3 linked regions of the Saccharomyces cerevisiae S288C genome follow. The main gene of each other region encodes a partner of the protein of the gene in region 3 in a complex. Each region holds a gene or a part of one and is shown on either strand. Other genes may lie near its edges. A codon is read from its position in the direction of its gene.

Region 1 (3,633 bases), on a different chromosome or scaffold from region 3:
ACGCGACCACATCGATTATTTTTTCACTTTTTAAAATCTGAGGAAAATTAGGATAATATTCATTAGGAGCACCTTCATAGCCCTTAACGGACTCTCTTCTAGGAAACCCAATTCCAAGAACACCACTAACGGGTGTCGTAGCATACTTGGCAACTCCGAACTGGATATTGGGGATGTCAATTCCATTAATTGATACAGTTTCCGTCCCCCAACTACCGTCAGCAAATGTTCCGTCAGCATATGTGATGTAAAACCTACCATTTTCCAGATATTGGTAGGTGGAAGATCTATGCTCATTATAAGTACTCATAGACCTGCAATCAATTGAAGGCTTAACTTCTTCGCCATTATAAGTTGCGTTTGAATAGGATGACGTATTTGAATTTGGTAAGCAGAAGGGATTGCTAGAATCCATAACCCAAAAATCGGCAGATCCGGTATCAAACAACACTGTCAGACTTTGGGACGGTGTACCTATATCTAAGGTTGTTGCGTAATACATCTCCTCTTCGTGTTGTAAAAGGAATTCTAAGTGACCAGTGCCATCGTTTGTTAAAGCAGTAATGGTGTTAATAATCGCGAAACTCGCCAAAATAAGTTTCAAACAAAGATGATTAATTGCAGACATTATATGACCCTTCTAGACACTCTTTTTATTTTGGTATGATTTTAGGCGATACGAACCACTAGAATTAAATCACGCGAAGATCATTAAAGAATTCATCATGACAAGGCTCGACGTGCTTTCTCTTCACTTTTATACTGTTATCAAAAAACACACACATTCAATAACTATAATGTGGTGTGTTTCAGAATAGCTGGCTGTGTATACATGTTATTGTCGCTATTATGTGACACTCGCCATGTAATTTCCTTTTACGGTAATTACATGCCATGTTTCAGCATGATGTCGGAGGTAGAAAAACAGGGACAACGCATCTCTAATATAATAAATGCAACAAATGTGTACCGTACCGGAATGAGTGCAGCCTATGAATTCGGCAAGAGCCGTTATCTATAAACTAAAAATACAAACTTATTTAAGAGAGTCCAAACTTTTTAACATAGCCTGAATTTCCTTTATGACGCCTTTCCTTTTTTCCTTCAACGGCCTTCTTAAGGACTCATCCACGTTAATCAAATCGATACTGTCTAACTCAATCAGCAACTTCAAAAGCATTTCGTTGCAATAGTTACGCTCGTAGATGTCCTTTTCATCTTCCACATCAAATCTGTTTATTAGATCCTTGCTACGACCTTCCAACTCGTTGCCGTATCTCAACGACACATTGTCAATTTGTTCTTCTAGAGTCAGAGGAACCGGCGCTTTTTCAAACTGATTCTTACCTTTCTTGTTCTTTTTAGAAGCCCTCTTTTTACTGCTTTTTCCCTTGCTGCCATTGGGTCTTCTGATTGTAACCAAAAATACAACAGCAATCACGGCCAAGAGGACGTACGTCGAGGTACTTGTTTTGCTCAGCTTGCTCTTCCAATGTTCCATTGCGTTGTGCGACATTACGGAAACGTACAATTGCCCTTCTGGTGCTATTTTTTCACCAACAAACAGGATTGAAACCAGCACTACAGAGCTGATTCCATCTTTTTTTCTACTGGTTATGTCAGTTCGCGATATTTTTTTTCAATATCGACCAAATGATAGTAAAGGCAAATTGAATTAGATGAGCACAAGTCTTCCATTTAAAAACCCCTCTAGCTATGGCTCTCCTTCAAGTCCATATGCGCTCTTGAAAAAGCATGCTTGCCGATTGAATTGCAGGTAGCATAAATGGTTTTGCTTGTGTATGAAGCTTTTGACCTTATATTCGTCATCCGTTATAAGTGATTAGACTGAAGGGGCGCGAACTAAACTAATTAGATTATAATACGTTTTATAGGGATATCACTACAAACTGCGGCCTAAGAGGATGATCTTCATGGCGGAAACTTGCAGTTTTCCTGTATCATTGCCCTCGTGTTAGATTGGTGATATATTACAGTTACACTATGACGGTGGCTTATTCCCTAGAGAATCTCAAAAAGATTAGTAATTCCCTGGTGGGAGACCAGTTGGCTAAGGTAGATTACTTTTTGGCTCCAAAGTGCCAGATTTTTCAATGTTTGTTGTCCATTGAGCAAAGTGACGGTGTAGAGTTAAAAAATGCGAAATTAGATCTGCTATATACCCTTTTACATCTAGAACCGCAACAAAGGGATATAGTAGGCACATATTACTTTGATATTGTGTCCGCAATCTATAAGTCCATGAGTTTGGCAAGCAGTTTTACTAAAAATAATTCTTCGACAAACTATAAGTACATAAAGCTTCTAAATTTGTGTGCAGGAGTTTATCCAAATTGCGGATTCCCAGACTTGCAATACCTCCAGAACGGGTTCATCCAGTTAGTCAACCATAAATTTTTGAGGAGCAAATGTAAAATTGATGAGGTGGTCACGATTATTGAATTATTGAAGTTGTTTTTACTTGTGGACGAGAAAAATTGCAGCGACTTCAACAAGAGCAAGTTTATGGAGGAAGAGAGAGAAGTGACAGAAACTTCACACTACCAAGATTTTAAAATGGCAGAATCCCTTGAACACATAATAGTTAAAATATCATCGAAGTACTTGGACCAAATAAGCCTCAAGTATATAGTGAGGCTAAAAGTATCCAGGCCAGCGTCACCATCCAGCGTCAAGAACGATCCGTTTGACAATAAAGGGGTCGACTGCACCCGTGCCATACCTAAAAAAATCAATATCTCAAACATGTATGATTCTAGTTTACTCTCATTGGCACTCCTTCTATATCTAAGATATCATTATATGATACCGGGTGATAGGAAACTGCGGAATGATGCGACGTTCAAGATGTTCGTTCTGGGTCTTTTGAAGAGTAATGACGTTAACATTAGGTGCGTGGCCCTGAAGTTTTTGTTACAACCGTACTTTACAGAGGATAAGAAATGGGAAGATACGCGTACACTCGAGAAAATACTACCCTATTTAGTTAAGTCATTTAATTATGACCCGTTGCCTTGGTGGTTTGATCCATTCGATATGCTGGATTCATTGATTGTGTTGTATAATGAAATTACTCCAATGAATAATCCTGTGCTCACCACGCTAGCTCATACAAACGTTATATTTTGCATTCTATCCCGTTTTGCGCAGTGTCTTTCTCTACCACAACACAATGAAGCTACTTTGAAAACAACTACAAAATTCATTAAAATATGTGCGTCATTTGCAGCATCGGACGAAAAATACCGTCTTTTACTGTTGAATGACACATTGTTGTTGAATCATTTAGAATACGGGTTGGAATCCCACATTACTTTGATACAGGATTTTATATCTTTGAAAGATGAGATAAAGGAAACAACTACGGAAAGTCATTCTATGTGTTTACCCCCAATATATGATCACGATTTCGTGGCAGCTTGGTTACTATTGTTGAAATCATTCTCGAGAAGTGTTTCAGCGCTTAGGACGACGTTGAAGAGAAATAAAATTGCACAGCTGCTTTTACAGATACTAAGTAAAACATATACGTTGACCAAGGAATGCTATTTTGCTGGACAAGATTTTATGAAACCGGAAATTATGATTATGGGCATTACTCTGGGTAGTATT
Region 2 (3,633 bases), on a different chromosome or scaffold from region 3:
ATTATATGTTTCCGTTGGATCTGGGAGCTAAAGGTTCCTGCCATGTTGGTGGCGTGGTTGCAACCAACGCTGGAGGACTAAGGTTATTGCGTTATGGCTCACTACATGGAAGCGTTTTAGGCTTAGAGGTGGTAATGCCCAATGGTCAAATTGTTAATAGCATGCATTCCATGAGAAAAGACAACACCGGTTATGATCTGAAACAGCTGTTCATTGGCTCAGAAGGTACTATCGGTATCATCACTGGTGTTTCAATCTTGACTGTTCCTAAGCCAAAAGCGTTTAATGTATCTTACTTGTCTGTTGAAAGTTTTGAAGACGTTCAAAAAGTCTTCGTCAGAGCCAGGCAAGAATTATCTGAGATTTTATCCGCTTTTGAATTTATGGATGCTAAATCTCAAGTATTGGCCAAGAGCCAATTGAAGGATGCTGCCTTCCCTTTGGAGGATGAGCATCCATTTTATATTCTTATCGAAACGTCAGGGTCAAACAAAGATCACGATGATTCCAAACTTGAAACATTTTTAGAAAACGTCATGGAAGAGGGCATAGTAACGGATGGTGTAGTGGCACAAGATGAAACCGAACTCCAAAACTTGTGGAAGTGGAGAGAAATGATTCCAGAGGCAAGTCAAGCTAATGGTGGTGTTTACAAATACGATGTTTCTTTACCACTAAAGGACCTATATTCTTTGGTTGAAGCCACTAATGCAAGACTTTCTGAAGCTGAATTAGTGGGTGATTCGCCCAAACCAGTGGTGGGCGCCATTGGATACGGTCACGTGGGTGATGGTAATCTACACTTAAATGTTGCAGTTAGAGAGTACAACAAGAACATTGAAAAGACTTTGGAACCATTTGTCTACGAGTTTGTTTCCTCAAAACATGGTTCCGTTAGTGCCGAACATGGGCTAGGTTTCCAAAAGAAAAATTACATTGGCTATTCTAAGAGCCCGGAAGAGGTCAAGATGATGAAGGATTTGAAGGTTCATTATGATCCTAATGGAATTTTAAACCCTTACAAATACATTTGAAAATAAAATGCCAAGTTTTATAGTTATCTACATATGTATATATTTATCAATATTATATTCTACAATTGTGTATATTATATGGTAAGGGTGATATTTAAGGAAGAAATCCACCCTTCTTTAAGGTTTCCACTGCACATGTTGAAATGTGTCTGAATCTTGATGAGCCCAAAGGCGTGCCACCATACCATCTGGTCACTATTACCAAGACGTTGAATATGTTTGCTCTTTCAAGTAAGGTCAATAAACGCTGTCCAGCACCAGCTTCGCCACAGTCAGCACATCCTTGCTCAATGTTCTTTGGCTGCACCGTTATGTTCCTTGACTTGTTAACATGACTATTATTACTCTTATTTGCTTTATTGCCCTTCTTTTTCTGCTCTTGTTGTAAGTGCAAATTATTTGATACCTCGGCCGTTCTCCAGGCATACATGTGCATGTGGGATGCCTTGGAGACGCTTTTGTTGTTTTGCGTTAGTTCTTGGAGTATGGAGGGTATATCCTTTTGATTTTGTAATGGGCAACATCTTGCTTGAAATTTCGATTTTCTATCAACTAAAACTTCTGATTCATTCCATATTTTCACTAGCTTACCAACATTCTTACTCATTTCTCCAAAAAATAGTAATACCAAACATCAATACCTATCTAAGAATCTGTATAATGTCTTTTCTAAAGGTTTTTTACAGCTGATGATTGATGCATGACTTATTTCCACAGTGCCGTATTTTCTCAGTTGCCGTTTTGGGTCTGCTTTTCACAATGCGAAGCTTTGTTGAAAAGAGCTCTAAGGTCAAAAACAATAGTAAGCTGATCGGTATTAAGTACTTGCCTTCCTGAAAATTGCTAACAAACATCCAAATATACCTTCCCCATAGTTGAATGGCATCTAATAGAACAAAACCAGGTTAAGATAGGTTTTACTTTGAGTTGTTAAATACACGCAGAAAGCGTCTTTCCACATAATCTGAACATTTTGTTATCGATGGCTACTGGCAGGATTCAATTTGCTGTTTCTACTCCCTGCAATACTAAGGGTAAACCGTCTGGTTATAGGTTATTTGAATTTAAAAACGATCGATTAGCACTGGTCCCATCAGAAAGAGGTTGTACAAAAGTAGATGTGAATGCAAATATACAAGCGTTTTGTTATTTAAGGCCTAATGGTAGAGACACGTCAATATCTCCAGACGCAACGCATATTTTGGACTCATGTGATTACATGGTGCTGGCTAAATCCAACGGATTCATTGAAATCATAAGCAACTATCAATACAAGATAAAAAATGGCCTGCGATTAGCGCCCTCTTATATCCTTAGATGTACTCCGGAAGATTTCGAATCCAATTTTTTTAGTGACTATATGATCGCTGGTCTTGAATATAGTCAAGGTTTATTATATTGTTGTATGTGCTCCGGTCGAATATATGTCTTTGTAATGAACCTTCCCACTGATTACATTCAGTATAAGAACATGTACAACCCCATGTTTCCAGATTGCTTTTTCAAAGTACATCACGATAATAATACAACACATTCTTCAGAAGAAGAAAAATTATTTGAAGGTAGTACGCGGTACACTGGAAGGTCATGCTCTAAGCATATCTGCTACTTCCTTTTGCCTATAGAACCATCCCATTTAAGATCGTCACCCGTGGTATCTTCGTTTTGCAATATGTATCAAGGCCTGCCCATATATAGGCCTTCGATGTATTTACATATAGAACGAGGTATTTCCACATTCCATATAAATCCATTAGACCGGTTTTGTTTCATGACAGTATCGCCACGATCACCACTATTTATAAGGAAAATAATTTTACCATTGACTTATGTTACATTTTTAAGCACCTTTATCAGCCTAAAGAACAGTATACAGGGAGATACATGCGGTGAGATACTTTCGTGGGACAACGTAGCGCAACAAAATGGATTTGGTTCTTTGTTCAGCTGGATTAGTAACAAGTTTACATTCGATACGGATATTATAAATTCAACCATTTGGGATGATATTGTAAAATATTCTGGAACAGGAATGCTGGATTCAGGAATCGTCTGGAAACAGCGTCAAGGTCACGCTAAAGATGACATATATGAGTTATTCCACACTCAAGATATGCTGGGAAGTAGTCGCCGAAATTCTTCATTCAGTACTGCTAGCAGCGAACCGAGACCGCTGAGTCGAAGAAGGAGAGAATCTTTTCAAGCCTTAACTAGAGACGCTTTTAGAGAAAGAATGGATGTACCCTGTTCAACGAAGTGGGAATTAGATTCTTTTATCCGAGGATTAAGAAGGAATACATTTATGGTAGATTTTGAAATTGTTGAAAAGATTTCTCATAGAAATGGAAATGATGGGGTGAATGAAGATGATAACACTACAGATGAAAGTGATGAAACAATGACTTCTTTTCTAACAGATAATTACAAAAAGATGGACATTGTGTGCATCGATCATTTCGTCACGTTGAGTGCATTCCGACCTCGGTACTATGATGAACCAATAATTAAAATCGATTCATTATCGAACAAAAATGGCTCTGAAAATGGAACTAATGAAGAAGAGTGGGCAGAAAGTCAAATGAAGGTGGATGGCCAAGTG
Region 3 (3,622 bases):
CGGGACTAACAAGAAACGAAATTCCTCCTTGGAAATTATGCTTATTTGGTGCATTTTCCGGGACAATGTTGTGGTTGACAGTATACCCATTGGACGTTGTGAAATCCATTATACAAAACGATGATTTACGAAAACCTAAATACAAGAATTCCATTTCTTACGTAGCAAAGACCATTTATGCAAAAGAAGGTATCAGAGCCTTTTTCAAAGGGTTTGGGCCAACAATGGTTAGGTCCGCGCCCGTTAATGGTGCGACATTCCTGACGTTTGAATTAGTCATGAGATTTCTGGGGGAAGAGTAGGAGAGTATATATGAAAACATCGTTTTATAGATATAGACATAGACATGCTGTTATCATACCAAATAGAAAAGTGTACAGTCTTTTAGTGATTATCATCTATGTGGTGTCAAACTAAGAAATTATATCGATCGTTACAGAATATATGATGAGGGAATATGCATAAAAAAAAATCTAAAGTTAGTGAAGAGAAAAGGGTATGCAGGTAAAAACGAATATATCACACATCAAGCAAACTCAAAAGAACAATCACTGGACTCGACTTTATTTTTCAAAGATGGTACTAATTCCAGCTGTTGGAACTTTTCAGCATCTTGATGATAGTAAAACCCTTGAATGTTCCCGGTAACTTGATCATGGACAATGTAATAAAACCCATCATAAGATGCGCCGTCTACACCTTCCATTAATAGGGCATCTGGTACCAAAAATTTTTCCTTCCATTTCATAAATATAAACCGTTCGTTCAAGTAGTTGTCAAATTGTTTCTCTTGGCTAAAAATTCTTGATATGTTACCAGCGTCTGCGCTTGGTGTAGTAGGAAGCTGCTGTGGAGGCAACTTCTTGGCTGCATTTGTAGTGCCATTGTCGTCAGTTGAGTTGAGACCGTTTTTTTGGCTCATCAGGAAAAGCTGTCTAAAGGAGGGGAAATTTATCCAGTGTTCTAAGTCTGTTTGGTCTGTGGCTTTGAATTCGTTTAAAACAGGTTCATCTTTCCAGCTAGAGGACAAGAACCCTAATTCCTTGTGGTTTACCGCGTAGGCTTCAAAATATGTACTGATTTCCGGGTGTTGGTTCGTGAGTCCTCTTATCGACAAAAATCCAGATAAATGAGGGGACAGCGACGTGCAATCTTTCTTTGGCAAATCTACAGTCTTTAAGTTAACTGTTACCTGATAGCGTTTGTATCCTGATATCTGGTACCCTGTAAACTGCATTCTTGGTCTTAAGTAGTTTGTGCAAACCGTATGGTTATAGGAAGAGGTCACAATGACTGGATTTTCCGAACTATAGGGAGATTGGTCCTCAACAATATATTTCTTCCTTGTCGACCCATTAGGTGTATGGGCGAGTTGCTGCAGGGAAGACAACGAATCCCTAGAAGCGCACTTGTAAAGATCTTGCTCTTGTAAGTAGCGATGACGGTCATGAAGATGAAAGGGTGCGGTTGAAGTCAAGTTGAACGTGATCGGATACTGATTTCTAGAAACAGGGGGGGCTGGTGTTGGTTCTGGCGAAGCCGCTTGCTCCGACTGCTTTGATGTCACAGCTTTGGGTTTCTCCGCTACACTGTCTACCTTAGGATTATTGATCATGACTCAAGCTTGCGATATGTGTTGGTGTCATGCACAAGACGCCACAAATGATAGAACAGAAAAGAAAGTGAACTAATCTTCCAAGACGAAGAAAACCAAAATCCGGGATGAGTTGAAAGTCAAAAAGACTGTATATATAAATTTCAACTTTTGTAGAAGATGCAGAAAAAGAAAATGATATGGTATGCAGAAAAAGAAATAAACCGCTATTATCCTCGCGGTTTGTCATTATAACAGGCAATTACACTAGAGAAAGCCGCACACCTCCCTCCGTTTCTTTTGCCCTGCGAGTTTTTCCGGAAAAGAAAAAAAAAACGAAAATTAAAACCCGCCTGCCCCGCGGGGTGGGGGAGGGGTCACCGGAACAAATCGGATAATCCCTCGCCTGCCTTAGATATCGTTCTGAACGGCTGAAATTATGAAAGAAGAAGAACATCACTTTACACGGATCGCACGCCCATAATTCTTTTTTTTTTTTTTTTCATATCTTCGACGTTTGCCACTGCCTTCTCTTTTTCTTTCTTTTTTGGCGGCCGGTGGCCAAACGCGCCAAAACCGAAACGCTTATAAAATGTAGTTGCCTTGCTCTTTCATTCGATATACATATAAGAACGCTCACTGTTATCTTACATTAGAAGCTAGAAACTATAACAGTATAACACAGCACAAGAGAACCGAGCAGCCCGCCATGAATCCTCAAGTCAGTAACATCATCATCATGTTGGTCATGATGCAACTCTCCCGTCGCATTGACATGGAGGACCCAACCATCATCATGTACATTAGAATTTTATACTGTTCTTCCATCGGTATCTCTTGGATCATCTACCAAATGGCCAGAAAGAGAATTGTTGCTAAAAACGACATGACTACCATGAAGTACGTCGAACCTGGTAATGCTATGTCCGGCGAAGGTGAGAAGCTGCAAGTTACTACCGTCAGAGACTACGATTTGAAGGAAATAGACAGTGCTATCAAGTCTATCTACACTGGTATGGCTATGATGGGTTTCATGCATTTGTACTTGAAATACACCAACCCATTGTTCATGCAATCCATTTCTCCAGTGAAAAGCGCTTTGGAACACAACGAAGTGAAAATTCACCTCTTCGGTAAGCCTGCAACCGGCGATTTGAAGAGACCATTCAAGGCTCCATCTTTGTTTGGTGGTATGGGTCAAACTGGTCCAAAGACCGACAAGAAATCTATCGAAGAAGCTGAAAGAGCCGGTAACGCTGGTGTTAAGGCTGAATGATTCGATCAAAAGCGAAGTATTTTTTTTTCCTAGTTTTTATGTAAAAATATATTCATTTTTTTCTCTACGCAGTTGCTGCAGTGTTATAAGAAAAATAGAATGAAATAAGATAAAGCTAGACGAATTGTGTCTATTTTCCTACATCGCCATAGAATTGCTTTTTTTTTCTTGATTAGATGAAATGAAAACAAGGAACTCTATTTGTTTTCATTTTGTTGGGCTTATCATGTAAAGAAAAATGAGTCGTGTCCTCTTTTTCCTCGTGCTTGTATGACTGCCGCACTTTCCGCTAAGTGCGCTCGTCTATATGATTTTATGCAAATATATACTGAAAGTTCAACAAAATTAAACTATGTGAACATTAGTTCATAGCAGCCATTGGCCCGTTGTGTCGGGATCTCTACACTAAATTGTAATGTCTCTGGGATTTTGTGGGGTGTCATTGCAGATATGACGAACCGGATATTACTGATAATGACGATGATTCATGAAGGTCTTCAGGTTCATATGTACAAAAAAGGTAGAGCTGTGGTTTTTTATTGTATCTTGGTGAATATTCTTTATAGTGTTACTCGCTGGTAAACTGAATCGATTGGAGTACAACTGCTAGAACTCTGTTCCTGAGACTTCGTGTTGAAGTGACAATGGATTCTCTCATTATTTTCGTGTGCCCTGCCAATATGACGGAAGTCAACGGTAATCTTTCCACCGCCATCCCCGTTTCATTATAAATGTAGGGTACAATTGCATCG

Evidence for each region.
Region 1: the proteins of VID24 (region 3) and VID28 are in contact, whole or in part, in a cryo-EM structure (PDB 7WUG), measured with the Saccharomyces cerevisiae proteins. Residues at the interface, in NP_009663.1 of Saccharomyces cerevisiae: Lys92 (codon at 1,342), Lys93 (codon at 1,339), Tyr94 (codon at 1,336), Ile95 (codon at 1,333), Asp98 (codon at 1,324), Ser100 (codon at 1,318), Pro101 (codon at 1,315), Tyr102 (codon at 1,312), Ser103 (codon at 1,309), Glu105 (codon at 1,303), Asn106 (codon at 1,300), Pro107 (codon at 1,297), Val108 (codon at 1,294), Ile109 (codon at 1,291), Val110 (codon at 1,288), Thr111 (codon at 1,285), Ser113 (codon at 1,279), Tyr114 (codon at 1,276), Asn115 (codon at 1,273), Thr117 (codon at 1,267), Thr120 (codon at 1,258), Asn121 (codon at 1,255), Pro125 (codon at 1,243), Arg126 (codon at 1,240), Lys147 (codon at 1,177), Thr148 (codon at 1,174), Asp150 (codon at 1,168), Pro152 (codon at 1,162), Asp155 (codon at 1,153), Cys156 (codon at 1,150); in NP_012247.3 of Saccharomyces cerevisiae: Thr316 (codon at 2,950), Asp318 (codon at 2,956), Trp321 (codon at 2,965), Glu362 (codon at 3,088), Ile363 (codon at 3,091), Thr364 (codon at 3,094), Pro365 (codon at 3,097), Met366 (codon at 3,100), Asn367 (codon at 3,103), Asn368 (codon at 3,106), Thr372 (codon at 3,118), Ser417 (codon at 3,253), Asp418 (codon at 3,256), Glu419 (codon at 3,259), Lys420 (codon at 3,262), Leu423 (codon at 3,271), Lys485 (codon at 3,457), Ser488 (codon at 3,466), Arg489 (codon at 3,469), Val491 (codon at 3,475), Ser492 (codon at 3,478), Leu494 (codon at 3,484), Arg495 (codon at 3,487), Thr496 (codon at 3,490), Gly541, Cys544, Asn545, Val548, Phe550, Trp606.
Region 2: the proteins of VID24 (region 3) and GID12 are in contact, whole or in part, in a cryo-EM structure (PDB 7WUG), measured with the Saccharomyces cerevisiae proteins. Residues at the interface, in NP_009663.1 of Saccharomyces cerevisiae: Thr130 (codon at 1,228), Gly131 (codon at 1,225), Tyr132 (codon at 1,222), Tyr137 (codon at 1,207), Lys138 (codon at 1,204), Arg139 (codon at 1,201), Gln141 (codon at 1,195), Arg170 (codon at 1,108), Gly171 (codon at 1,105), Leu172 (codon at 1,102), Thr173 (codon at 1,099), Asn174 (codon at 1,096), Gln175 (codon at 1,093), His176 (codon at 1,090), Ile221 (codon at 955), Asn222 (codon at 952), Phe223 (codon at 949), Pro224 (codon at 946), Arg227 (codon at 937), Gln228 (codon at 934), Arg286 (codon at 760), Thr324 (codon at 646), Asn326 (codon at 640), Gln328 (codon at 634), Phe330 (codon at 628), Lys338 (codon at 604), Phe339 (codon at 601), Gln341 (codon at 595), Glu343 (codon at 589), Leu344 (codon at 586); in NP_010105.1 of Saccharomyces cerevisiae: Cys14 (codon at 2,056), Asn15 (codon at 2,059), Thr16 (codon at 2,062), Lys17 (codon at 2,065), Asn48 (codon at 2,158), Asn50 (codon at 2,164), Gln52 (codon at 2,170), Asp125 (codon at 2,389), Met127 (codon at 2,395), Cys143 (codon at 2,443), Arg248 (codon at 2,758), Gly249 (codon at 2,761), Ile250 (codon at 2,764), Ser251 (codon at 2,767), Ser267 (codon at 2,815), Pro268 (codon at 2,818), Arg269 (codon at 2,821), Arg436 (codon at 3,322), Arg437 (codon at 3,325), Asn438 (codon at 3,328), Phe440 (codon at 3,334), His491 (codon at 3,487), Phe492 (codon at 3,490), Asn515 (codon at 3,559), Gly552, Asn553, Cys555, Ser556, Lys558, Thr573.

The regions. Positions count from the first base shown.
Region 1 is NC_001141.2:319,337-322,969, reverse strand, and holds the start of VID28 (glucose-induced degradation complex subunit VID28), read left to right. Parts: upstream 1-2,004; coding exon 2,005-3,633. Other genes in the region: aspartyl protease BAR1, read right to left, coding at 1-628; SNL1 (Snl1p), read right to left, coding at 1,037-1,516. UniProt on the Saccharomyces cerevisiae protein: Component of the GID E3 ligase complex recruiting N termini and catalyzing ubiquitination of proteins targeted for degradation.
Region 2 is NC_001136.10:140,081-143,713, forward strand, and holds the start of GID12 (Gid12p), read left to right. Parts: upstream 1-2,016; coding exon 2,017-3,633. Other genes in the region: DLD2 (D-lactate dehydrogenase), read left to right, coding at 1-1,034; YDL177C (uncharacterized protein), read right to left, coding at 1,129-1,641. UniProt on the Saccharomyces cerevisiae protein: Regulator of the GID E3 ligase complex. Modulates both assembly of the substrate receptor GID4 into the GID E3 ligase complex and its activity toward its substrates.
Region 3 is NC_001134.8:450,355-453,976, forward strand, and holds VID24 (glucose-induced degradation complex subunit VID24), read right to left. Parts: upstream 1,616-3,622; coding exon 527-1,615; downstream 1-526. Other genes in the region: YMC2 (organic acid transporter), read left to right, coding at 1-302; SND3 (Snd3p), read left to right, coding at 2,304-2,870; IML3 (Iml3p), read right to left, coding at 3,439-3,622. UniProt on the Saccharomyces cerevisiae protein: Substrate-recognition component of the GID E3 ligase complex recruiting N termini and catalyzing ubiquitination of proteins targeted for degradation.